7 linked regions of the Nothobranchius furzeri genome follow. The protein of the gene in region 1 purifies or fractionates together with the protein of each later gene. This does not show direct contact. Links are inferred from orthologs where the notes say so. Each region holds a gene or a part of one and is shown in the gene's direction. Other genes may lie near its edges.

Region 1 (3,500 bases):
TACTTCAGTGTACTTCTTTTTGGTAAGGGTACCTTTGGCCAGACGTTTGTTTACTATTTATCTTGCTATAGGCTAACCTACATAGAAGAATACCAGCATGAAAGGGCACATGAAGGGGGGGGGGGGGGGTCTTTAGCCAAGACAAAAGTAGAGTGAGGCGATCAGATGAGAAACACACTTTTAAGAATATTCTTTATTTCACCAGGTGAGAGACTCATTAAGATGTCAAATCTAATTTGCAAGAGTGACCTGGTCCAGGACGACATCATGAAAACAATCCAGGAAATTACGCAAAATCACATGTTACAACCATCGGCATACTGTATTTACCATGGACAAATAATGTCCATAGGCTCAAATGATAAGTCTTTTAGAGAAAATGGGAGGTTCCCACCACCGCCATTTTGAATGTGTCACACGCCCAGACTGTCCAAAATAGGAAAAGAGGTAGAGCTGAGGGTGGGACTGTTACAACTGGAACAGGGTTGGAACAAATGAACCAATGTAGCTACTAGCTAACTTAGCTTACCCAAGAAGCTAATGGACCATTCCCATCTGTACCGGGTCGGCCCGGGCCGGGTAGCGTACGCTGTTTACATATCTGGGTGGCCTGGTATTTTTCCGGGCCAACCAAGGCTCATTCTCAGCCCTCTTCTCGAGGGGGTCTGCTTCAGGCCGACCAGGGCCAACACACCCACTGCTGACAGCAAATTCACACCTTCCATTAGAGCAAGCCTCTGATTGGTGGGTAGAATCAGCCCACATGGGCTTAAGACAAGGATGTGTGGAATCAACCGGGCCAGGCTGGGGCCGACTGGGGCTACCCGGCCCGGGCCGACCCGGTACAGATGGGAATGGCCCATAAGAAGTGGCTCTGGGGTTCGGAGCCGGCCGCTTACATAAGATCATGTTTCTCCTCGGTTGGAGATCAGCGTGAGATTAGCTGCATGCTAACTCAAGCTAGCAGAGATTTTTAAGGCACTTTTGGCTCGAGAAATGCTGTAAAAGGAACTCAAAAATCAACTCAAAGAGCAGAAACACAAATTATAGGTCCCAGAGAGTTCAGCAAGACAAAACCAGCTGATCACTGTGCGTGTGTGTGTGTGTGTGTGTGTGTGTGTGTGTGTGTGTGTGTGTGTGTGTGTGTGTGTTTGTTAGATATTTGGGCAATTGGCTGCATCTTTGCAGAGCTCCTAACATCAGAGCCCATCTTTCACTGTCGCCAGGAGGACATCAAGACCAGTAACCCCTTCCATCATGACCAGTTAGACCGAATATTCAGCGTCATGGGTTTTCCTGCAGGTCTACACACACACACACACACACACACACACACACACACACACACGAGTAATCGTGAGTACCTGTGTAAGGCTTTATTTAGAGTGTGATGTTTTTGGGAAACCAGCTCGTTGGTTTGTTTTCTGTAGATAAAGATTGGGAGGACATAAGGAAGATGCCCGAGTACCCCACCCTGCAAAAAGACTTCAGGAGGACAACGTGAGTGGACACTGGGACGTCGAACACTTTTAACTTCTTTCACTGAACGTCACACAAGGTGACTGTTCTCCTCACAGGTATGCAAACAGCAGCTTGATCAAGTACATGGAGAAGCACAAAGTCAAGCCTGACAGCAAAGTTTTTCTGTTGGTGAGTGTTTAGGATGTGGGACCGGGGTTCACTCTGTCACACACACCCTGTGGAGATCGGTTCAGGTCTGCTACACAGAACAGGATTCAGTCACAGACGCGTTAATTATGATTATTTACACGTTTAATCACAGCTTGCATTTCAAGCATAGGCCGAATATCACTGATGCACACAACAACGCACGGTGCTCAGCTAACTGAAAATGGACTCATTTGAAGAAACTGGTTTGCTTGGACTGCTGCAGTATTTGGTAAACATGTCCGCCTCTTCTCTTAACTTGTAAAAATAAAAGCAAAGCTCCTGAAAACTACGGAGCTCGTGTGGCGGACATTTTGCAGAGATCTTCTCTGATCTCTGCTGCTGCTGCCCGGTGGCACAGGAGACCACAAAAGCTGAGGTAAGCTAAACTTTTAGCATTTACGTAGCATTTGTGCAGCGCTGAAAGCACCAGACAGAATAACGTGTTGGTCTTATCAGTAGTTTATGAAAGTCAGACGAACAGCTGGGAGAACGCGTTCACAAACAGCGTGTCCTAACGTTCATACGCTCTCACGCTGAGGAAACAGTCCAACATCTGGTGGCTTGTCTCTGTACTAAAGTCTTCTTTCTCCATGCAGCTTCAGAAACTCCTCACCATGGACCCGACAAAGAGAATCACCTCAGAACAGGCATTGCAGGACCTCTACTTCCTGGAAGAGCCCCTACCAACCACAGAGTGAGCTCTCCTGAACTTGTGACATCACCCCCCCCCCCCACGCTCCTTTAACTGATCTGTTTCACCTGCAGTGTGTTTGCTGGCTGTCAGATCCCCTACCCGAAGAGAGAGTTTCTTAATGAAGACGAGCCGGAGGAGAAGACAGAAAAGGTAATCTACTTTCAGATCACATGTACGTCGTTAACCAAGGCTGGGAATCCATTAAAATAAACTAATTAATCGCAAATCTGAAAAAAAATTATCGCAATTAATTATCATTTTTTTCCTGAAAAAGCAAGCGTTAAACATGCAAGAATATACAAGAGAGGTTCATTTAGGACGTGCATAAGTTGTTGAAGTGTGTAAAGTCACTGAATCCTGTCTTTAACAGAGAAAACCTAAAATCAAATCCAGTTTCTGTTCAAAAACGTTGTTAGAAAAAGCCTATTGTCTACAGGTGGTTCAGAACGCCTGTGCTCGGCTTCTGACCAAGTCCTCCAAACACACCCACATCACCCCGCTTCTCCTCCAGCTTCACTGGCTGCCAGTCAACTTCAGGGTTCATTTCAAGATCCTGGTTCTGGTCTATAGGGCCTTACATGGACAAGCACCATCTTACATTGGTGACCTTCTTAGTCCCTACACCCCCAGCAGGTCCCTGAGGTCCAGTGACCAAAGCCTACTGGTTGTGCAGCACCAGGCTAAAGGTCAAAGGTGACAGATCATCTGCTGCTGTGGCCCCCAGACTCTGGACCTCTCTCCCCCTGAGCCTGAGATCAGTGGACTCAGTGGTCTCCTTTAAAAAGCAGCTGAAGACTCACTTGATCAAGCTGGTTTTTGTATGACCTTCTTTACCACTCTTTCTTTATTTGTGACAACCAGGGCTGGAGGACCCGTGAAAGCACCAGACACAGTAAGACGCTTTAAAGTTTTTATTTGAGAACACACAGGGGAGTGTTACCAGTCTGTAGGAAGGGCAGAAGCAGAAGGCTTGGTCAGGAGGGGAAATCCAGAGGCAGAGTCCATGTAACAGATCCAAGGTCAGGAGTCCAGAAGATCAGAAACTATGAGATAATCCAGTCAGGGAGCAGGCAGGTGGCAAGGTCGAGGTTCAGAAGCAAGGTCAGGAACTGGAGGTGTAGGCAGGGTTTTAGAA
Region 2 (3,500 bases), on another chromosome or scaffold:
TGATGCCAGCGGAGCCACGTGTCCCGGCATGTCCCTGATCATCATCTCCTGACGCGCAGGGGCATCCCCAATCGTCATATATTGAGGCTTGGTCACACACGTCATATTTTGACGCCTTGGGTGTGAGAATGTGTTGGTTTAATGGTAACTGGATGGCTAATCTCACGTTCGCGACGTGGTTAGCACCGGTTCCAGGCAATAGCTAGAAATTATAGCTTAAACTTAATTTTAAAAATAGCTTAAATTTGGTCAAAGTGGCCTTAAAATAGGTCTTAAAAAGTCTTAAATTTGGCTCCCTTAAACCTGCAGATACCCTGCCATACTGGCTCGTGACTGGGAAGGCTGTTGTTGGTTTAGCATCGAAAAACGGCAGATAACGTCTCTTCTAGCAGAAGCTAACCATTAGCATTAGCAACTCAACCACATGATAGAAGCTCCTCCAGGTTTGTTTTATTTGTGGAGATAAAACATCGTCGTTGCAAAGCAAATGGAAACAGTGGTAGTCGGGTTGCTGTTGTCCAGTTTGAGACAAATTGTCCAAATATCAGGAAATGGGACTCCCAACACTTAGCATTAGCATGAAATGATTCATCATGCTGCCTCACTGCCACCTGCGACTGACTGGAAATTGGTTGTTGTTGTTGTTGTTAGCCTCAAGGGCAACATGCCGATTATCACTTGTAAGTCGCTTTGGACAAAAGTGTCTGCTAAATACATAAACATAAAAAAATACAAATTTTAAACTGTGGCAGCTCATGAGTCAATCAGTTCCCGGTAATGATGGATTCCAAAACATTTTGCAGTGATTTGACCAAAACAATCATAACTCCATCATAATAAAATCCCAGGTTAAAACTTGCTGGACTGTGTCTGTTTCTTCAAAAAGTGCCTCATAGTAATTGTTTATTTCTACTTAGGCATAAGAATCAGAAGCAGCGTTCCGGCAGCACCTCAGGACACCCACCGTCATCAGGCCAGTCGGCCCAGCCAGCCCCCAAGCACAAGCTGGGAGAGAAACTGGAGAAGGGGGAGAAGCAGCAGAGGAGGCCACAAACGCCTTTTCATCACCGCAACTCTGTGAGCGAGGAGCAGCCGCTGGAGCCACAGACCCCGCGGCTCTGCCCCAGACAGCTGGAGGAGGGCTCGTATCCCAGCCTGCACCACGTCGACACAGTGGCGCCCAAAGCACCCACGCTACACGCGCACGGTCCCCCCACAGACTTGGTAGGATCCCCGCCACCCCCTCCTCTCAGCCCACATCCATGTGAACATGCAGAAAGCGACTTAACCCCAAGAGCCATTAAGAACTCTTCCACGCCTATTCACCAAGCGATCTACCCGCCGTCAGTGGAGCCACATAAAGCCTCGTCCGAGGACCATCAGTTGGACAGCGTCCCCGTGCCTTCCTTCACCCCCACCTATAACGAAAGCTTGGAACTGACGATGTTTGTAGGTTCAGCTGTAAACCCAAATGAAGACTCCACCCACAACCCCTGGAAGTATTTCAACTTGCCCAGGAAGCCCTCCAACCTGTCGACGCCTCAGCTGCCTGTGGATAAAGCACGAGATGATTGTGGAGGAACGGAAAACGTCGTCTCTGTCACGGAGTACGTATTTGACGTGGAACGAGTGTTCCTGTTTGTTCATGACAGAACGGCCGTGCGGATGTTAAAAGTTCTCCTCTTCTCAGGTTGATGTCCGACTCCTCGCAGCCTCTGAAGGTCTCCCAGGAGCTGGTCAGGACGTACGCTCAGCGGAGACACAGCCATCTTTCTTCCACAGCAGGAGACGGAGACCACAGCGAGGAGCCAGACCCTTACGCCTTTGTGGAAGACGAGGACGACAACTTCACAGAGAAGAAGGACAAGTCTGGGACTGAGAAGGAAGGAAACAAGAAACAGAAGGTGGATTTCCGTTTTTATAATTATTACACTTCAACTTGAGTCTAGAGGGTAGTTCTGGTCCGTTTGATTTCATAAACAAAAAAATAACTTTCTTTTTTTTTTACTTTAGATGGATGAAGGAAATGGAACTTCTGCAGATGGTGAGAAACTGATCAGATTTGACATTTATTGAAATGGACTCATTGAAATTGATTGTCTTATTTGAGGTCTGCCCTATATTGTTGCTGTAGATGGTCAGGGTCCATCAGGCAGTAAACCTTCTGCCTCGACCAGCCTCATCCATGAGAATGACCTGGCCGTGTCCTACAGCGACCTGGATAAACTATTCAACTCCGATGAAGATGAGCTAGCGGTAAGCTAAGTTTGGTCAAAGCTGCACTTGTTAAAACGCTGATGAGAAAAAATTGTTGAAGATTGTTTTTGTCCTTCTCAGCCTGGACCCAGAAGAACTGAAGATGCTACAGATGTTGTCTGTAGACCCCCCCTGCCAGATCAACCGACCATCATAAGTAAGGAGCACCGGTAGCTTACATGTATTCTGACATTTACGTCATCTTTTTGTAACGCTGTGCGACTTTCCTAGGCACAGTAGACCTGCACACGATGTTTCCCACCCCGCCCTCCCTGGACCAGCAGGGATACTCCCCCATGAACTCTGGGAGCCAGAATAGTCTGGAAACAGGGGCGAGTCTCACCGTGTTGGACATCAGCCAGCTCAACACCCACTTCAGGATGGAGGTGGAGGAGGGTTACTGCAGCCCAAAGCCATGTGAACTAAAGGTGGGACATGTGATGCCATTGGCAAGAAGAGAAAAGGCACCAAAGGTTTTCTTTCTCCAGTTGAATTAATCCACTGATTTATCTGCTTTCAGGACTTCTCCTTTGTGTACAAGCCAGCAATTAGTCAGTCCATCATCGGTTCAACTATGTACGCCCCCTTAAAAACACTACCCAGCCAGTGTCTGTCACCCATCAAACTGCCAGAGGACTGCATGTACACACCGAGCTGGACCATGGGCAAAGTGGAGCTGATGACCAGCGTCAGCCTCCTCACCAAAGACAGGTAGATGTGTAATTACTGCTGATTGTTGCACAATTTGGTCCCTGATTGGGATTTTAAAGTGTTTCTGCGTGAGCTGGCCTGTCCACTGGATGTATAAGTAGCGCGCAACGTAAAAGTCGCTTTTTTCCACGAGCTCAGCGGCACGACCCTTCCCACTGGGAGTGTTTCAGATGCAAATCGCCAGCAGCTCATCCCACAAGGCCACGAAATCACAGGAAGATTGCGAGATCACGCGTGATTTCAGTAATTCACGTGATAACAAGCAAATAGAAAGACAGGCGCATGTATTGAAAAGGGTCTGTGGTCTTTTTTCAATTCTTTTAACTCGGACACTGAGGTTTCAAAGGTAGAGGCAATTTTTTAAGTAATTGGAAATCTGCAGTGTCTTTTATTTTGAAAGTTTTCAGGTGTTTTACACTGATATTGTGTTTTGCTTCCTGTCTGGTCCGATCTGAACTGCTGAGCTTGATGCGTTCTGGAAGCGTAGCGCCCGAAAATTTAACCTGGAAGAGTAAATTTAGTGTAGCAATACG
Region 3 (4,094 bases), on another chromosome or scaffold:
GTTGACGTGACAAATTTGAACTGTCCTAACACTCAGCCTGTAGGTGAAAAAACTGGAACATTTTTCCTCATGTTCACAACACTGTGTCAAACAGTTCTCAGCTGAACTTTCTCTTTTTTGTCTCATGTCTAGCTCTGCCCACTCTGCTGCCATTCTGACATGGCACTGATACACCCACCATGAAGATTAGGGAAGATTTAGGTCCAGTGCCAGCTTCACTCCCAGTGCCATACCATCCCTCAGCACAGAGAGGGAGTGGGGGGTGTCCCACTTGGCGTGGCAAGGTGAACTAGCCTCTGATTGATGGGCATGGCTTCAGCCCACTACTGTGCTCCCCAAGGCTCGTGCCTCCTTTTCCTTTCTCCCACTGCTGTCTTGGCAGCAGTGCCCAAATCCTCCTCTGTGCCAAGCAGCCAGCTAAAGCTCCTGGTGGGCACATCAATTACATAGCGGCACCTCCCCTCTTTTCTTCATGTCTATCTGTAGGTCTGTCTACTGACTCAGATCATGCCAATCTAGTCCCTCTCCATCTCCAGTGCTGTCTATTTCTTGTGTGTTTATTTAATACGCATGTTCTTAAAGTATAGCCTTGCAAATGCACCAATACACATATTCATGAACACACTCCCTGCTCTATCTCATAGGCAGGTCATAATGGTTGGTGGGAAAATCCTCCCTGGAGAGCACTCATTGCCACAGGCTCAGCTGTGCAATAGGCTCAGGTGTCTGCATGCAGTATGCGTTTGTTTTTGCAAGGCATGACTGCTTTTGTGGCTTTCATTTTTATTTTTTTAATATGCTGCTTTATATGCAGCTGTGGTAACTTTAAAAGTGGGATTTACCAATAGACAAAAAGAGATCGACAATCAAAACGTGTTACTTGAAATTTACAGTTAATAAACATAATTGTGTAACCTGTCAGTTGCTTTTGGCAAAACATGAATCATTTCCTTGCAGTAGTACGCCATCTGGAGAAATAATTAAGTCACTGTCTTAGGAGGAAGGTGCTGTTATATAGTGCTGTTCGACACAGTTTTAATGTTTTGTTTGACCAATAAAAGAAAATAACTCCTGTCAATTATAATCAGTCGAATTTCCCTGAAAGTATTATATTTTTAAAATAAATCTACATATTCGCGCAGGGACAAATGAAACGAGATTGTCAGGTGAACTATTAATAGAAACTTTTTTTTAATTACAAGAAAATTTGATTTGTAGAAGAAAACTGTAAAGACACCAGGGTTATTTACATTCTTTGTAGTGTCACACTCGCGTCCTAGAGGATGGGCGTACGGAAGCCGCCTGGGTACGCGGAGAACTCGAAGCTTTGAGAGAACAATGGCGTCGGGGCCTGGTGTCTCTCTGCAAAGTGGCAGCCCGGCCAGAGAACTTTCTATTTCGGTTCAACAAGGAGGAAATCTGCCTATCGGTGACCGGGTAAAACCCGAAGATGTAACGGGTGAGGCCTGCTTTTGTTTTAGGTGCTTTAGTTTATTTAGAGTTTTTTAAGATGCGTGAAGTGCTAGGAGAGGTGAGAGAGGCTATCTATGCTAACTGATAGCCAACGGTGTTAACTATTATTGGTGTCGTATTTTTAACATTTAGACTATTTTTGAATATGCAGACAAAATAATTAAACATATAATAATGGAATTTTTTATGAGTGATACAGTTATTTATTTTTTATTTTTATTTCTGCCTTTGTTATGTTGCTAATGGCTAGCAGGAGCTACTGTCTTATAAACTAAATGCAAACGTCAACATTAACATTAGATCAGATTGCAATAATATCTAAAATACTAAAAACAAGTTTATTTGTACCAAATTAGTATATCATTTGAAGGGATGAACGTAAGACTAGCTTTTAAAACTAAGCGAAATAATCAGTCATCCGTCATTAGCTCATTGTTACAAGTTGTAATTGACAGTTAACCACAATTCGGGCGTTTTAATGATGGGAGTATTTAATCGCTTAACAATCTCGTTATGAACTCCCCTCCTTATCCACCTTCCTATGTACTTTAAAAACGATGAAGAAAAATGTTTTACTGCAAGATAACTTTTGAATAAGTTGATAAATGATAACAGAGAACTTAGTTTTGGTGTTCTTTGTTCACAACAAATGTAAACAGCCACAGTTTAGGTGTCATAATCTGGCTGAATGTAAAATTATTATAGGGACAACTAATTTATCAACACAGTATTCACAAATAATAAGTTATCTTTTAATAATTTGTTGTAAATTATAGCACATGTTGTTACCGTTCACATCTTATTTGTAGGCTAAATACATTACAACAGACATCTTCAGCATGATTCATCTACATCTCAGACTGCATGTAAAATATCTGAATGTCTAGATTGGATCTGGTTTTCAACTGGACCAGCTAATTCATGTCCATGGCTTTTTACGGATAATGGCAACATGAGGACGTAAGGTAAATCTGGGCTTCTTTATTTTCTCATAGTTTAACAATCTCCACAGAAGAGCCACCTTGTTGTTTTTGTAATCTAAACGTTATGAAAGACTTGGTAGATCTTTGAAACTACAGATTCTGAAAACCTCAAAGAATTTTTTTTCTGAAAAAAGAAAACATTGTAATTATCTTTATATTTTTGGAAATTCACAGATAAAGGCCCCTATATATTTGCAAATTCCTAAAAGGACGAGTTTAAATGATCTGTTTGAGTGTAGTAAGGTTCCAAACTTGGGCAGAATACACGAGTAAATTTGATTTGCTTTTTAATCATCATCACAACCTGAAATATGTTTTTTTTTTGTCTTTATCAGAGGCAGAGAAGCAGAGTCGGATAGCTGCTCTCCTGGAGAGACTTCATGCCAAACATAATGCTTCACGACCATGGCAGGAGACCTCCAAAGTTGTGCGTCAGGCCATGGTGAGACAGATTCATTCTTCTATAGAAAATAAATCTAAAACATAATGTTTCTTATCACACAACCTGAACTTGACACTGACCTTCTTACTCGCCGTCCAGGGTTCCCGCGGGGTCTTAAAAAGTCTCAAAAGCATTGAATTTAGGATTTAGAAAATAATACCTTAAAAAATCTTTTAAAAGTCTTGAATTTTGACAACTGGGTCTTAAAATTTGTGCTGTATGTAAATTATCCATATTGTATTTGCATTCTAAAATTGCATTTTTCAACCACAATAGTTTTAATTAAATAACATAGTGTAAATAAAGAATGGCAGAACCAATCAAGTGGTGCTCGCTGCAGAACCACAAAGGCGGAGCTGCACCAGAAGGTGGAGCTGCACCAGAGTCAGCTCCGCCCATTCCAGAATCAGCCCCGCCCATTCTATCGGAGTCAGTCCAATTCCTTCCAGTTGTCAGACTTGATAGCATTCTGGAACCAAAGAGGGTGTTATAGCTAAAAAATGCAAGATTGAGGAGGGAGTTGAGAAGTGAATTGAACAGTTTTTGTAAAGGTTCCATATAATTAAAAATCTGACTTTTGGAACTTTTAATCTTGTTATATTGTCATTTCCTCATAAGAAACACGCCAAAGCCATTTTTGGCCTCATTCATGCATTTTCTTCCCATCTCAGCTTCAATTTGGTCTCCTCCCCCAAAGCGGGTCTGGTCTTGGTTCTCAAATCTGGATATTCTGTGAATTTTCTGACAAATTATTTCTGAAATGACTTCTACTGAGACACCGCCAGAAAAATCATACATCCCATCTACAAAGACACACCAAATAACATAATAAAATGTAACGCCACTTAATTTTTATCAGATGTGGTGGTGTAGTGGTGATGGTGTCAGGTTGACATGCAGTTTTGCGCAGGTTCGCCTCCCAGCAGTGGAAATATTCTAATATCTCTTTTCCTCATTTCTAGCTACACTTGCCAGTACTATGTTTACAACGATTTATTGGTATGCCGTTTAACATATAATGACTAATGTGTTTTTTTTATTTATTCATTCGTTTATTTAGCCAGTGTGAGTCCATCTGTGAGCAGAGTTTCAACTAAAATGCTGTTTAGGAACGACCAAATTCAAAGAACTTGTAGAGACATAAATATTTTGCTGAAAATGAACATTACAACTAAAATATGAACAAATTAAATGTT
Region 4 (4,175 bases), on another chromosome or scaffold:
AAAAGTCTTAAATTTGGCACCCTTAAACCTGCAGATACCCTGGGAAAAGAACAAAGTAGGTGAGATCATTTTTAACAGGAGAACACATTTCAACATAACACAAACAACTGTATAACTTACCTTACCGACACCCCGGTAGACCTCGGTCACCCTAGGGTCCAGCTGGGGCATTGGAACCCCTGATACCTCAGACATCACTGTTCCCACCTCGGTTTGCTTCTCTGTGATCTTCTCCATGATAATATCAGCTAAGGTCCGCCTGTGATGGTCACAAAGAGGAAAACAGCTGAGTATACGAACATAAACTTAACCTCAAAGTGGACTTTAGCAAATTCCAACAGCTAGAATTCAAACAAAGTTGTGAGAAATCTTGCCTCATTGGAGGGTTTTTATTCATGAACATCTCAATGGCCTTCTCATCATCAGAATCAACGATGACTTCAGTATCACCCTCCACATCACCATCCCCAGCACCTGCTTCTCCCAGAACTGGCCAATCTTCATCTGAGTCAGCATCCTGGGACTCAGGGCCTAAAATAAACAGGTCAGACAACATTAGAAAATATTATTCATGCATTCAGCAAAGACTTATTTCACCTAAATAGTTCTGAGAAGATCACGCTGGGAACTATTTTTCTCTGTGATCGTCTGACATTTTGTCCACATAAAAAACATTCGTCATTAGTTTTATTTTTGCAGAGAAATAAAGGGATGTTGCATAAGTAACACCGTATAACTAATTACAAAAACACTTTCGTGGTTTCTACGCTTGATAAACCAGACTTAATTAAAAAAAATACTGCCAATTTAAGGTCCGAAACCCTCCATCATACCGAGAACAGTGACTGGTGCTTTCCTCTGCTCAGGTGCCAGGCCATACTCGGTCTGCAACTCCTCTTGTTGAATCCGGGCCTGTTGTAAGATTTTCCTTGACAGACGTTCATCCACGTAGGTGTCCTCACTTTCGACCCGGGCGTCTCGATTCTTCACCCGGCCTCGGGCTCGGATCGTGTCCGCCTGGAGGATCTGGTCGGCCAGTGGCACCGCTCCTCCTCCGCCACTCTTCTCTCCTCCACCGCCACCTTTAGCTCTTTTCACTTTCGGCATCTTTCAAGAGTGACTCAAGCTGCGACGACGCTGTCCGTGTTTTGTTTTACCATTAGAGACACAAACAACGCGGAGAAAGAATTCTGTAAACAGTCTGTATTCTACACGTGCAGATTACCGTACGGCGGAAGTGACGATATACGTAACGTCTGTGCACTGAAAAACATATATATAACATACCATTTTATATGATGTTGATTTTATATGTTTGTATGTAACATACATTTATGCAATATGATTATAAAGTTTCTTGAGTTTGTTTTTTAATTTTCTGAAACAAGGTCGTTTACGTGCACCGGAAGTGTAAATGTTAATCCGGAAGTAATTGCTTCACGAGTGTTTTTTGCAGGCGAGAAATCAATGGGTGTTACTTGGTAAGCAGATTTACTTATGTTGTAGTTAAATGCTAACTGTAATAATATTTTTGTAATATATTTTATCACGCTGTGCATATGATTTCGTTTGGCATGTGTAGCTAACTCGGTGAATGTAGCCTTTATTTGCTTCCAAACCGTTTTACACTGAATAGAATAGTGTTTATTGTCGTTGTACGGTGTACAGCGAAATTAGAGTGCCACTCTCTTTAGTGCAAAATGGAAAACTATACAAAAAATAATACAGAAATAATATAAATGTAAAATGAACAGTAATATATATATTAGTTGGGTTCAGTAAGCAGAATTTTAGCATATTGAGTAAACAGAAATAGGACATTCAAATGTTATTGCACATGATCAATTTTGAACAGGTTGCTTCACGGTGTTGTGTTGTTCTTGTGCTGTGCAGTGTTTGCCAGGTGCCCGTGGCGGAGGGGAAGAGTGTCCAACAGACAGTGGACATTCTGCATAAGAAGCTGGAGCAGCTTGGAGCTGTGAAGCAGGGCAACTTCTGTGTAGACTGTGAAACATATCAATCAACAGTAAACGCTGGCGGTAATTTTCAGCTATTAACCATATAAATATTATCATTCCTGTTGTTTAGGTGCTTTAGATGGATAGTCTTCTGCATTGCTATTAATACAACTTGCTGCAGGGGAATTTGTCATATTTCTTTGATTAAATTCTGCTTTTTGAAAATGTTCTAATAATTATGTCAAATATTTGACTTAAACTCAATTGTCCAGGATATGTGTGCCTTGTGACAAATATATTGTCAAGCTATGTAATTTTCATTTTTACTGATCTTATTTCTCTGTAAGGTTAACAAAAACAGTCATCCATTGGGTAAAAATAGCCAGATTAAAATACAGTTGGTGTGTTTTAGAAAGGTTTTCTGTAAATCTTCATTACTATGTTATGCAAGGTTAAATGAGCCACGTTTCCACTGTATCTTTCCCCAGAAGTCAGGAACATTTAAAAAGCCCCATCCACTGCAAGAATCCGCTTAAATTTGTTTAAATGGGACAGCAGTAGCTCAGGAGGTAGAGCGGGTTGTCCAGAAGGTTGCAGGTTCGATCCCGGCTCAGACCAAAGAATTCTGCTGTTGTGTCCTTGGGCAAGACACTTAACCTGCCTTGCCTGCTGGTGGTTGTCAGAGGGGCCGATGGCACCAGTGCTCAGCAGCCTCGCCTTTGTCAGTGCGCCTCAGGGCATCTGTAGTGACATCATAGCTCATTCCCACCAGCGTGTGAATGTGTGTGTGTGAGTGACTGTGTTGTGAAGTGCTTTGGGGGGATGTAGAACCCTGTGAAGGTGCTATACAAACACAGGCCATTTACATTAAGCTCCTTGAAAAATAGTTTTTATTTTTATGTTTTATAAACATCCGCAACCCGGGGTCTATAAACGTTTGATTTGGCATTTATCTTTCTAAGTTACTACTAGTCTTTTTTTTCCAGGTTTCCACCAATGAGTCCATTAGCAGAGCAGTAAATCATGATCTAATTTAGCTCAAGTGTCCTCCAGAAAAAAAGGTGTCTGCTCTCGCATCCCTCATAAGCAACATTTATATAAACAGGACATGGTATGATTCTACTACTTACTTGTGTAATTTTAAACTTAATAAGCATGCTGCTCTAATCTGTGTCCAAAAATAAAAAAATCATGCAAAGTCATTATGCAAAAATTGCATTGTTACATTTTGCTGTTCTTCATGCAATTTCTCACTTTAAGTCTGGGTTTGTTACAGGTCAGCCCTCCAAGCTCCTTTATGTAATGCACAACTCTGAATTTCCCCTGAGCTGCTTGGCTCTGTTTGAAGGAGGACCCTGTTTGGTAGCGGACACAAACTTTGACGTCCTCATGGTGAAGCTGAAGACCCATTTCCAGAATGCCAAGGGACACAAGGTGGAGTGTCGCGGTTCGAGATATCGCTACTGTGACTTCTTGATTAAAGTTGGCACGGTCACAATGAGTTCCAGTGTTCGAGGGATATCAGTGGAGGTGACAGTTTGGTATTATCAGTTAGACCAGAGGCCCATTGTTCTCTTTTTTGACAGGATTAACCCTTGATGTGTTTTCCTCAGGTGGAGTACTGTCCCTGTGTGGTTCCAGGGGACTGCTGGAACCTCATGAAGGAGTTCATGCTGTCTTTTCTTGGCAACAATGTTCCTGAGCTTCCCACTGTATTTGCTGCCAAGCCTGAGGGTCTTTTTGCACCAGCAGACTCTGTCGACACCATGACTCAGTACCTGGAGTTGTTCAACAAGCTACGGAAGTTACAAATCACAGGAAGCAATGTGCACTAATAACATTTTTTAATGATTGTATTGATGTGTGTTAAATGTGGTCCTATGGAAACCGTATGATTTGTATAGTTCTATTTTTGTAACTTCAGTTTTGTATTTGTTTACCCTGATACAGTTAAAAGGAATACAGCTACAATCTATAGATGCAAATGCTCAACACAGACAAAAATAAAGACAAAAATCTACCTATTTCTGCAAGAAGTAAAAATTCCTTACACTCGGTGGGGAAATGTTGGTGTCACAGCAGCAATCATTCACATCAGGAGCAAAGAAGAACAAAATCCTGTAACATATGCAAGAAATTCTTAAAACATTCAATCGAATAAAAAAAATCTGTGCAGATAGACGAAGTTTATAATGAGGAGTGATGGCATGAAAGGAG
Region 5 (3,500 bases), about 2.4 Mb from region 1:
TCTTTATTTTATTTTCCTCTCATTGCATTTTTAAAATCATATCTTAATAGTCAGTATGTTTCTGTAGCTTTTAGGCAGTTTGATCTCAGACTTCGTGGACAGTTTTAGACCTACTGCAAGAATTAACTCCATCTGTGGTAAGACACACACCCAACGTTCATATCATTTATTAGTTTTGCAATAAAAAATCCATCTACGTGAATAAATGTAATCGTAAACGGCCTTCAAACAAACACGTGTAAAAAATATGAGAAATAAAAGAAATTCAATAAGAGGAACAACGGCAAAAGACGACAGGGAAGTATAAAATATCAAACAATCTCCTAAATGGGGACTGTTGTTGTTTCAAACACTTTTTAGTTATCTGTGTTGCTTTCATTAGCTTGTTTTCCATTTCCAAAGAGTTTTGACTCATTCCGCCTCGACACTAAAGCCAACAGGATTTTTAAAGATGTAGAATTACTGGTAAATAAACTAGAATGCACGTTATTTACATTTGTCAAATACAAAATACTAAATTCTCCATTTCTGTGGTGCCATAAACATTAATATATTTTACACATGTTAAATTATTATTTATAATAAATCACTTGGTGAATAACCTTCAACCTTTTTTATCCTATTGGCTTTTTGTGTTTATGTCATTTTCTCTTTATTTTTGCCTCAACGAGAGCCGTGTGAACTCATCCCCTCCTCTAGTGCTCGTCTGAGAACGAGGCGGGGAGGTCGTGTTATTTAACAAGCTGAGGGAAGTAAAGTACAAAAATAAATCCATTAATCAAGATAAGAAAAGCGTCAGTTTGACAGTGTTTACATTGTAAAACAAAACAAACACATTCTCACTTGTTCAACCCCCATAGGAAGGTGCTGATTCAGAGCTTAAATGCGTTTTTATGTGCATGAAAATTGATCTTGTAAGTTTCAGTAAACATGATTATTGTTGTTATGTCATGCATTTAGGTTTTTTTTTTTCATTTCAAATATATTCCTGTTGTGGTTTGTTTGTTGAATTCATTATTTAATTCTTTTATTTGGCCTCATTCAGGCTAAGGTGACCAGTGAATTGTGTTTAAATAAGTGATGCACCAACATGAAATTTTTAGACCAATATCCGATATTAAGATCACTGTTTTGACCGATAACCGATATTTGCCGATACCGATATACTGACATTAATGATTCTAAAATCAGCAGATTTTGTGTAAAATGAACATTATTAAAGCTGAATTTACATTAAAATGTGCACACACCACACACACATACACTTCAGAGATGATTACAATCACTGTCACATGACTAAAGAAATACACATCACCTTCTCAACCTCTGAAACAGGCAAACAAATGGAGACAAGATGGAAAAAATATCGGTTGTTAATATCGGCCTGATTTTATTTATTGGACCGATATTTTAAAGAATGATTAACATCAGCCGATACCGATATTGATGCTAAATGCAACTTAAAAAAATTATTTAGCATGTCTGTTTTTACACAAACCAAGATCAGAAATACCTTAAAAGGCCTGATTAAGTGAACAGAAATATGCATTCATATCCATTTATTTCCCCAGTTTAGAAAATATGTAGTTTGCTTTGTCTTCAATTTAAGCAAAGTATCCTCTCTGATGTCTGGATGAGAAAATGTCTAAATTTTGTTCATTTATTGATGAAATATATACGTATACTTTTAGATTTGTATCATTATATTTTTAAGATGATGTCTAATTAGAATTAAATGAGATTATTTAATAGTGGAATGTTTTCTCCTATAGTTAGGGATGCAACAATACCACTTTTTTCCAAACCGATACGATATCTGAGTACTCACCGATACGATTACCAATACCGATACTTCTACCACACAAAAAAATGCAATGGATTGGAAAACAGATTTTATTTTCTTCTCTTCTTTCACCAGGAAAAGACTGTGAGGTAGATGAAAAGTAAAATATATGAATGGAAATCATCATAAAACTAAAATATTAGGTGAACAGAAATGACAAGTTACAGTGAAGCCATTTTCAAGCAACTGCATTGGTATCGGTTAACTTTTACCGATACCGATACTGGTAGTGGTATCCCAGTATCGTATCGGTGCATCCCTACTTATAGTGAGCTTAAGTCTCCTCCCTTTCTGGTTGGGTGATGGGTCAGAAAAAGGACTTCAAGTTAACGAGAGCTGCAGGGCTAAAAGACCTATTATCTAATCTGCTCAACTCCTGGATCGCACATATGATGTGCTTCAATTAGAAGTGATGATGTGTGCTTCGACCACGCCTGCCATGTATTCTGAGAATTATCAGCTTGTAAATGTTCATAATTAGCGTGACTACAAATCAGATATCGATACGTCGCAATAATGACGTCACCACAGAATCTCCTCTCCCCTAGCGTAGCTGCTACTCGACACATGGCCAGATTTATGGTGGTTCTTTCCTCCTGAAGGACGGATTTGAAGTTCGCTGAATTTACATCCGTCGTCCCCGTTTGTCTCCGTGTCTGGTTCGATGACGGTGATGCACGTTGGTAGTCCTGGACTTATTTTCACACAAAACCTAAAATAGCATTTACCCTCGTTCAAAAATAAGCACTTTCTTGGTATCAAAACACTTCTAGGCGACGGTGGCACAGGAGTTGAGAGCTCGCCCCGTAACCGGAAGGTTGCAGGTTCGAGCCCCGCTCAGTCTGTCGCTGATGTTGTGTCCTTGGGCAAGACGCTTAACCCACGTTGCCTGCTGGTGGTGGTCTGAGGGACCGGTGGCGCCAGTGCTCGGCAGCCTCGACTCTGTCAGTGCGCCCCAGGGCAGCTGTGGCTACATCGTAGCTCATCCCCACCAGTGTGTGAATGTGTGTGTGAATGGGTGAATGACTGGTTGTGTTGTAAAGCGCCTTGGGGGGTTCCAGGACTCTAGAAGGCGCTATATCAAATACAGGCCATTTACCATTTACCATCCATGGCACATAACAAGCGGGATCGGAAAAGAGCGTTTTTAGCCCCGTTGACTCGCATTCATTGTTTCGTTCCTCCGGGGACCGATGGTCCAGCAGTAGATAGGCGTGGCTTAAGCTCCCTATGAGAATCAGGCCTCAGTCTGATTATATTTTTCCCATTAGACCCTTATAATAAAACAATTACAAGTTTAATTTGCCATTTCTAAAATTCCTCCTATTTGATTCAGTCCTGTGCGGATGTCTGTGTCCTACAGGTCGCTGCAGCCTGTTACCTGTGGTGAATAACAGCGGCGCCATCTGTAACTCCTGGAAGTTGGACCCCACGACGCTCCGCTTCCACCTGAGAGGAATGCTGCCGTATGACAAGGTAACATTTTCAGTTCAGCTGTTATTTTTGTTATTATCATTATTAGTCCTGTCAAAACTCCCAGATGTGTGTATCTCCTGTGTGTAGGACCTGTTTGAGCCACAAACGGGGCTTCTGCGATACGTGCTGGAGCAGCCGTACTCCAGAGAGATGGTGTGCAACATGCTGGGACTCAACAAGC
Region 6 (4,240 bases), about 22 Mb from region 1:
TGTCACATAGATTCAACGCCATAGAAAATGTGACTTTAAGAAAACCACATTTCAATACAAAATCGTGTGGACTTACCCCCGGACGGCACTCCGAATACTTCAGATCCTGAGTGTCCAACACAAAAAACCTCTCTTTGTAGTTATTTGGTGATGTTCTTTTCTTTTGCTGGGATTTTTTGATCATGGTTCCCCTCAAAATCACCCTGGGGAACATTGTCAAGAAGAACGCAGCGAGCGTCTGCGAATGGTTTTGTCACAAGCAGAGCCTCGCAGAGTCAGAAGAAGAAAAGGCAAAGTTGTGGATGATAAACTTCGTAGATGCTGTGGAGCTTCCGGCGTGAAGCTGCGGCAGGCAGTAAACCACATCCTTGTGGCAACAAATGATTTGCGCAAGCAGAAATACACACTGTTTGATGCACAAACACTGTAGATGTCTACCCTGCACATGTACTTTCACTAATGTTATAGAGAATTAACAAGTTAAGCCCAAAGCAGGACTGTGAATGCAGAAATCCAGGTTTTGGTAGTACTTTTTTAAACAATTGGGAAGATAAAATGAGTAACAAAACACAAAACATCACTGAAAAAAGTTAAGATAAAGAAATATCTCTCTTTCTCTAAATGTGTCTTTGCATTTAGGGGTTACACGTCAAAATATTGTTATTTTTCAGAGAAGTTTAGACTGTTTACAGTGAATGCAGTCCATTAAATTCTTGATTAAAGTAAAGAGTAAAAACTACTTAAGCCACATAAAAATTTACAAAACTCATCTAGGTGACAAGGAGTAAATAAATAAACGTGAGCAAACCGGTTCGGAACATTAGGAATTAAAATGCTGCTCACTATCTTTTCACAAGAGAATAATAGAATTCAGTTTGTCATTATCAACCCAATTTCTTTTTAATATCGATATCAACCCTTTTACACCGTTCTGTTTGTGGCAGGTGTTTCACATACATAAGAAATCACAATCATCTTTTTTTATTATTATTATTTTAGGATAAAATTCATAGATTTCTGCAGATTCTGAAAGAGGACAAACAGATCACAACATGCCCTATAGGTCATAAATTGTAAGTCGCTTTGGATAAAAGCGTCTGCTAAATAAACATAAAGAACAAACAATAACTGACATAGTTTGTAAAATGAGAACCCGAAGGAATTAATATACAGGTTATTGTTTTTATGTCTTTAAAATTAGTATTTTCATTCAAAAATATTCAACAGTTATCTGAATATTTTAGTAACTTTTCTTTTTCATGTATAAAATCAGTTCAGTTTGGGCATCAAACGGTACTTTTTCCATCGATCCTCTGAAGAACAAAGTAAAAGAAAAACAAATTTTTCCGTGCTTCCGGATATTTCTACCAATCAGCGTTGAGCTCTTTCTGTGACCGCACCCCAATCAGCGTTAGGAAAACAATCACGAGGACAGTTCAGCCAATAGAAATCAAACAGAAACGACTGGTCTTTTCTGCATTTATCGAAGAAGCTATGTTAGCCCTGATCTAATTTTCCAACGATATTTGATTAACGTTATTATTAGAAGTATATGTTGTGTTTCTAAAGGATTGTTCTTAAGGTGGGTATGAATACATTTACTCCCTTCTCATTTACCTTTTATGTAGTTCGCTTCATTTTTGACGTGCCCAATTAACTACCGGGATTAGCGGTGGCTATAGTTAGCTAGGTTTCTGTACAAAATGCAGCGGTGACGCTAACGTAGTTCTGCTTGTAGTGTTTGTCAATAACACATTGAGTCCGTAACAAAATAAAGGTAACACAGAAGACAAAGGTTCAATGGTTAGGTGCGTGCTAGGAGTTGAATTTGACTACTTAAATACCTAAGAACAACGTTTCAGCCAGATATTAAACCTATAATTATTAACTATGGCTAATAAAGCCTAATTTTACTTCAAACTAGATTGCAAATGTTTTACGCCAAAATGAGCAGTAGTGTGTATACTATAATTTACGTGTCATTTTAAGTTCATATCTACTTTTCCTACCAACAACAGCAGTAGGTGCAACTTAAAAACCCATCAGAATCTAGTTTTGCTTTGAATGTTTTGTGCTGGACTGGTGCTGCAACACATTAGTTTAGATTTTAGACTAACACTTTACTGGAAGTGTATGCTGATTATTGAATTTGCCCCTCCAGCCTAATGATAGAATCCTGCAGTTATTGGGAGAATGACGTTTGTCGAATTTTTAAATATATTTTATGTACAAGGATTTTGAGAATCTTTTATCGAAACTCTCAAAAAGTAAATCAAACAATAATAAATTCTTAATAAAAACATTTTATTTGTTACTGCAGTTTACATTTAACAGTATTTATTTGTACAAATGAGGGGCATTCAGGCTTTTACTACAATCTGTTATGTGTAATAGTGTATATCTTTTGATGCAGAGCTCTACACGATATGCTGTTACCTAATAAGTTATTGTGCTCATTAGGTAGCTGTAATGTATTGTGTAGTAGTAGTAATCAGCTGATAATGTCATGTTTTTCAGCTTAGCCATCAGCCACAGCTGGTTCTACATGAATGTGGAGCCGAGTTTTAATCTGAAGATGGAGATATAACTATGGTTTTGGGCTGAAATATTAAATTTAGAATAAGTTGCACTAAACTGCCACACTGATAATTGCACATGTCTACAGCACTATTAGACACTCATCTGTACAGGTTATCAGCTAAAAAAAAGTTCATTTAGGCATTTCTTGATCTTTAATAGTGCCTGGAATTCCTAATAAATGTTTTTTCTTTTTCTATACTTTCAGGTCTGCATCATGGGTGAACCACAGCAGGTCAGCGCCCTGCCTCCACCACCTATGCAGTACATTAAAGAGTACACAGATGAAAATATCCGCAAGGGTCTGGTCCCAAAGCCGCCTCCACCCATTAGAGACAGCTACATGATGTTTGGCAACCAGTTCCAGTGTGATGACCTTATCATTCGACCTCTGGAGAGCCAAGGCATCGAGAGGCTCCATCCAATGCAGTTTGACCACAAGCGGCAGCTCAAAAAACTAAACATGTCAATTCTTGTGAACTTTCTGGACTTGTTGGACATTCTCATCAAGAGTCCTGGCAGCATAAAGCGTGAAGAGAAACTGGAGGACATGAAGCTTTTGTTTGTTCACATGCATCATCTTATAAACGAGTACAGGCCACACCAAGCCAGAGAAACACTGAGAGTCATGATGGAGGTCCAGAAGAGGCAGAGACTGGAGACGGCAGAGAGGTTCCAGAAGCATCTGGACAGGGTGGTGGAGATGATCCAGGGGTGCCTTGCATCTCTACCTGATGACTTACCCCAGTCGGATGTAACAGACGGTGTGTGTGTTGGGACCAAGAGTGTGTCTGCTGGATCTAGTTTTGGTTGTTCTTCTGGACAGGCCCCCATTCTGAAAACCGAACCAATGGATGTAGAGGACACGGGCGCCAGCTGCATGGCTGCAGGTGATCAGGACAAGAATGTCCCAAGTTCAAAAACAGACAAAACATGGGACAAGGATGCTGCCATGTGTAGTATAATAGATGAGATAGCATGAAGATTTACAGCACATGCATGTTTTTACTTTTCACTCAGCATGAAATACTTTGTGTGGGATAAAAATACTATTATTTGTACATGTTCTTTTCAAATTCAACTAAATGTACTTGTAAATATTTCCTTAGCGTTTAAATCTTATACAGATCTTTGTGTTCACTGGGCTCAATAAATCTATTTGAAACCGCAGCAGGAGTTTAGTGCCGTCACAAAAACGATGATCTAATATGGTTCCACATAAACACAAAGTGCTTTTGTTAAGAATTTGTTGCTAATTCTGACGCTGTGGTTTGCTGATTATGCATTAGCGGTAGATGCGTAGATCCTTTAGCTAGTCGGCATATCAAAGAGCTTGATTCATCAGAGACCTGAGTAAAATTTAATTAAGTCATTCTGCCTTCTTTTAAAATGTAATGCAATGTAGACAAGTTTAGGGTTGGGGTGTGCTGAATTGAAAGGTGACATTTGATAGGTTTACGTCTGTCAGTCGTCTGTACATGTGATACTTTATACATACACTATTTTTCCAATAAAAATTCAAATAAAACCTATTTAATAGTGATGTGTCGGTCGCGAACGAACTGGTTCTAAGAGCCGGCTCTTTGAAGTGAACGACAGGAGCCGTCTCGTCATTGGGAGCCCTCCCCTCCCCCCTCCCCTTTTGCTTTGGTGAAAGCTGCAG
Region 7 (3,500 bases), on another chromosome or scaffold:
TTTCAGTCCACAGGAAGCAGTTGAAGTGGATGTGTGTACATGCTGCTCACAAGAGCTGACAAGAGTGTAAACATCCCCTAGACTGGTCCACGTGCATCTGAGGAGAGTGTGAGAAAGCTAGAAGGAAGAGGATGACTCAGAATCCTGCTACTCCGGTGGCAGATGAATCATTCAAGGTGCAGATTAAGAAGATTAATCTCCCAGATTTGAGAGAAAATGTTATCATACTTGGTGACAATCTGAGCACGGTTATCAACCCTTGGATTAACTTTCCTCTTAAAAGCAAAGATCCTTGATTTTAATATTTTTCTAAATTTTTCATCATGATTGCCATTTTTTCTCCACAGAGTTATTTTTCGTGCAAATGTGTAAAGTCTGTGACGCGTGTCAGACATTAATCAGCTCTCTGGCTGGCTATCTGGCTCACTGTTAGAGTTGTGGAGGGGTGAGAGAACTCAGGTTGTAACAAGATCCCAAAACAGAACACCCCCCCCCCCCACCCCCCACCCCACCCCACTGGCAGTAACATCCATGCACCCGAGTCTTCCTAGCTAACAGAGGTGCACCAGACTCTAAATGCAAGACACATTTAGTCACACGGTGCTCGTCCTAAAGCATAGGGAAGGAAGGCATGCCCACAGACGGCGTGTGATGTACATTAGCAGATTGATTTCACCATAAAATCATACTCAGTATCCAGCCATTAAAACTCTGATCTCATCGATATGTGTGCAGCACTTGCAGGGTGCAGCACTGAATTATTCACCACTTCTTCTGTCTCACTGCTTTTGCTCTCACTCTTTTTCTTCTACCTTTCCTTATCTTCTTAATTTCCTCTCACTCTCTCAACTTTACCATTTTGTCTACTCATGCATGCCTTCAATTCCCCATGTCTCCATCTTCCTCTCTTTCCTTTCTTCCTCTTCACAGTCTGTTCAGCTTTTTTCTCCTGTACTGTCAGCCCTTAGGCGTGTCTCAGCCATCTCTCCTCTTCATTTATTAATACCTACTCACACAGCTGTAGTCACATACACATTTCTGGCCGACGTTCTCACACTCGTCTGCTTTTGCCTGCCGACTGCACTAAAGTCCCAGAGGATGTGAGGAGCCCAGAGTGTCCACACACTCACACCCGCTTACGGTGCAGGAAAATGCCCTTTGTGAAAGGACAGGGAGCATCAATCTCCCAGCTGGGTCAGCTTGCAGCTTGATGCTTTTTTTTGTTGTGGCTCTGCTCATCCCAGACTTGCATGTGGTTGCACTTTATTCTCGTTACAATAGATCTCATGTTACAGTTGTCACTTATTAGTTATCAGGCTGTAACTGTTTACCGGGCTGCTTTATGCACAGTGTCAGGTTGACTTGATATGCATTGATTATCAGCTGCATTTAATGCAAAAAAGGCTTATGTGCAACTGATCCTAAATATATAAACAGGATCATTAACATGGGAGATAATACCTGTTCATGCATGCAGGTATGCAACATTAACCTGTCAGACCAAACTGTTACTCAGCCCATCAGTCCATGCCTGTTGGACAAACATCAGTGAGTTTAGATCACGCTTTCTGCAAAGTTCTAGCCTCAATTAAATCCTGACAACAGAGATGATGGACATCTATCTCTGCCCACATGAGCAGAGCAGACTGTTACCCTTGACTTGCAGCTGTTTCCCTGAGCCTCCACCTATATTTAGCTCTTCGTGTGAGTGGAACGATGCGCTGATGACGAGGTTGGAGGGCAGTGACATTGAAAGCATTTTCTGTTGTAGAGAGCTGCAGAGATGATGGACTATGGCCGTGTTTGATTGTGTGTGTGTGTGTGTGTGTGTGTGTGTGTGTGTGTGTGTGTGTGTGTGTGTGTGTGTGTGTGTGTGTGTGTGTGTGTGTCTAAGGATCTCTGCCTGAGTGTCAGGTTATTGCAGGCATGCATATGCATGCACCTTTAGATTGTGCAGAACAGTGTTTGAACCACCTGCTGTCATTACCTTATTTTCTCTCTGGGAGCATGAGGAATGTATATGAGGCAGAAAACTTGGCCTCCTCTCACCTTGGGGACCTTCAGCGCCATCTGGAGGCTGTCGTCGTCAAACCGGAGAAACCCCAGCATAAAGAGATGGTGTTTAGCTCTGGACACGCGTGTGGAACTGACCATTTTATTGAATTTGATGATCCATTACAGCTCAAATGGAGGTCCAACTCCCTCAGGGCAAAGGGGATATTGCATAGGCAGCAGTGTAATCACAAGACAATTACAGTACCTTCTGACTTTATTGTAATACTGATATATAAACCAAGGTATTAGGGAGGTTTATAGATTAAAAATATACATCAGTGAAGTGGTTTTCTTGGTACATGATGTCCAGCCCACCCACTGCTCCATAGACTGCAATAAAGATCCAACGATTATTCCTCCTTGATTAAAAAAAGCACAGCAATGCATGATGAACCACATGCAGGCTGCGTGTAATAAAGAAAGAGTTGCATTTGTAAACATGTAGCTGGCTTGATCAGTCATGAGGAAATGAGGATTTATACCTGCAATAAGAATCATATGTGGTAAATGGTGCAGAAGATCAATGATGTTTAGTGAATCTGAGCAGAGAAAAGCACTCATCACCTGACAGCTTCCAACCTGAAAAGATGACTTGTTTTACATTTTCAGTATGTCTGATAGCTAATCTCAAATTGTACATGATTAAAAAGTAATTGCAGTGGATTTTAATCTAAAATTGAATAATTAGTGGAGGTGATTTCATGTTTAATCAAAATGAGAAAAGATGGGAGTCTAAAGTCTTAATCCGTTTTTAAAGGTTGTATTTTTGTGTTCATTTGAGTCTTTTTTCCTCTTTCTGTCCCTTTTTCTTTGACAGAGATTTCTAATTTTCTAAATTTTGCCCATCTTTTGTCCACAGTGAGCACCTATCATGTTCTTTCTCCTTCTTCCTCCACGGGGAGAGCAATGTATGCACAAGCGTCGAGATCGCCCAGCACCAGCCTGCATACCACATCACAGAGCACCACATCCGACTCGCACAGACCTCCACCACGCCGGTGCAGGGTGAGACCACAGATCAATGAACTTTTCACTCTGCTTTGGTTTCACTAAAACCCAAAGTCATTCCCAGTGTGCATCTGACAAGCACAGATATGTGCAATTGAGGGTTTAAACATGAATTTTAAAATTATAGTGATATATTCAGACTTATGCTTAACTTTGTGTTACATCAGTGATTGTACACGCAAAAAATATATTTACTAGTATCATATTGCTAATGAAAATACACACACACACACACACACACACACACACACACACACACACACACACACACACACACACACACACACACACACACACACACACACACACACACACACACACACACACACACACACACCAGAAAAGCAAACGCAGGAAGGTTGTAGGTTTAATCACGGCCCCCGCCAGAGAATGCTTCTGTTGTGTCCTTGGGCAAGACACTTAACCCGCATTGCCAG

Evidence for each region.
Region 2: the proteins of cdk19 (region 1) and mediator of RNA polymerase II transcription subunit 13-like purify together in Homo sapiens (affinity purification with mass spectrometry; 6 studies listed by BioGRID and IntAct, counting the BioPlex papers as one, with this or other methods). This does not show direct contact. The link is inferred for Nothobranchius furzeri from reciprocal best matches to the Homo sapiens genes CDK19 and MED13.
Region 3: the proteins of cdk19 (region 1) and med1 purify together in Homo sapiens (affinity purification with mass spectrometry; 7 studies listed by BioGRID and IntAct, counting the BioPlex papers as one, with this or other methods). This does not show direct contact. The link is inferred for Nothobranchius furzeri from reciprocal best matches to the Homo sapiens genes CDK19 and MED1.
Region 4: the proteins of cdk19 (region 1) and med20 purify together in Homo sapiens (affinity purification with mass spectrometry; 5 studies listed by BioGRID and IntAct, counting the BioPlex papers as one, with this or other methods). This does not show direct contact. The link is inferred for Nothobranchius furzeri from reciprocal best matches to the Homo sapiens genes CDK19 and MED20.
Region 5: the proteins of cdk19 (region 1) and med23 purify together in Homo sapiens (affinity purification with mass spectrometry; 5 studies listed by BioGRID and IntAct, counting the BioPlex papers as one, with this or other methods). This does not show direct contact. The link is inferred for Nothobranchius furzeri from reciprocal best matches to the Homo sapiens genes CDK19 and MED23.
Region 6: the proteins of cdk19 (region 1) and med7 purify together in Homo sapiens (affinity purification with mass spectrometry; 5 studies listed by BioGRID and IntAct, counting the BioPlex papers as one, with this or other methods). This does not show direct contact. The link is inferred for Nothobranchius furzeri from reciprocal best matches to the Homo sapiens genes CDK19 and MED7.
Region 7: the proteins of cdk19 (region 1) and mediator of RNA polymerase II transcription subunit 13-like purify together in Homo sapiens (affinity purification with mass spectrometry; 5 studies listed by BioGRID and IntAct, counting the BioPlex papers as one, with this or other methods). This does not show direct contact. The link is inferred for Nothobranchius furzeri from reciprocal best matches to the Homo sapiens genes CDK19 and MED13L.

Annotation. Positions count from the first base shown.
Region 1 is NC_091742.1:28,536,832-28,540,331, reverse strand, and holds part of cdk19 (cyclin-dependent kinase 19), read left to right. Parts: intron 1-1,158; coding exon 1,159-1,302; intron 1,303-1,430; coding exon 1,431-1,500; intron 1,501-1,577; coding exon 1,578-1,650; intron 1,651-2,267; coding exon 2,268-2,365; intron 2,366-2,436; coding exon 2,437-2,515; intron 2,516-3,500.
Region 2 is NC_091753.1:50,234,693-50,238,192, reverse strand, and holds part of mediator of RNA polymerase II transcription subunit 13-like, read left to right. Parts: intron 1-917; coding exon 918-1,607; intron 1,608-1,690; coding exon 1,691-1,904; intron 1,905-2,013; coding exon 2,014-2,044; intron 2,045-2,134; coding exon 2,135-2,256; intron 2,257-2,337; coding exon 2,338-2,413; intron 2,414-2,487; coding exon 2,488-2,684; intron 2,685-2,776; coding exon 2,777-2,967; intron 2,968-3,500. UniProt on the Homo sapiens protein: Component of the Mediator complex, a coactivator involved in the regulated transcription of nearly all RNA polymerase II-dependent genes.
Region 3 is NC_091756.1:39,221,577-39,225,670, reverse strand, and holds the start of med1 (mediator of RNA polymerase II transcription subunit 1), read left to right. Parts: upstream 1-1,294; 5' UTR 1,295-1,338; coding exon 1,339-1,459; intron 1,460-2,360; exon of another isoform or gene 2,361-2,438; intron 2,439-2,791; coding exon 2,792-2,898; intron 2,899-4,094. UniProt on the Homo sapiens protein: Component of the Mediator complex, a coactivator involved in the regulated transcription of nearly all RNA polymerase II-dependent genes.
Region 4 is NC_091743.1:46,651,350-46,655,524, forward strand, and holds med20 (mediator of RNA polymerase II transcription subunit 20), read left to right. Parts: upstream 1-1,375; 5' UTR 1,376-1,467; coding exon 1,468-1,481; intron 1,482-1,893; coding exon 1,894-2,039; intron 2,040-3,234; coding exon 3,235-3,488; intron 3,489-3,571; coding exon 3,572-3,793; 3' UTR 3,794-3,982; downstream 3,983-4,175. Other genes in the region: bysl (bystin), read right to left, coding at 121-259, 375-531, 834-1,107. UniProt on the Homo sapiens protein: Component of the Mediator complex, a coactivator involved in the regulated transcription of nearly all RNA polymerase II-dependent genes.
Region 5 is NC_091742.1:26,121,528-26,125,027, forward strand, and holds part of med23 (mediator of RNA polymerase II transcription subunit 23), read left to right. Parts: intron 1-67; coding exon 68-137; intron 138-3,206; coding exon 3,207-3,319; intron 3,320-3,406; coding exon 3,407-3,500. UniProt on the Homo sapiens protein: Required for transcriptional activation subsequent to the assembly of the pre-initiation complex. Component of the Mediator complex, a coactivator involved in the regulated transcription of nearly all RNA polymerase II-dependent genes.
Region 6 is NC_091742.1:50,786,277-50,790,516, forward strand, and holds med7 (mediator of RNA polymerase II transcription subunit 7), read left to right. Parts: upstream 1-1,440; 5' UTR 1,441-1,582; intron 1,583-2,785; 5' UTR 2,786-2,794; coding exon 2,795-3,559; 3' UTR 3,560-4,109; downstream 4,110-4,240. Other genes in the region: itk (tyrosine-protein kinase ITK/TSK), read right to left, coding at 77-214. UniProt on the Homo sapiens protein: Component of the Mediator complex, a coactivator involved in the regulated transcription of nearly all RNA polymerase II-dependent genes.
Region 7 is NC_091746.1:54,183,761-54,187,260, reverse strand, and holds part of mediator of RNA polymerase II transcription subunit 13-like, read left to right. Parts: intron 1-2,914; coding exon 2,915-3,060; intron 3,061-3,500. UniProt on the Homo sapiens protein: Component of the Mediator complex, a coactivator involved in the regulated transcription of nearly all RNA polymerase II-dependent genes.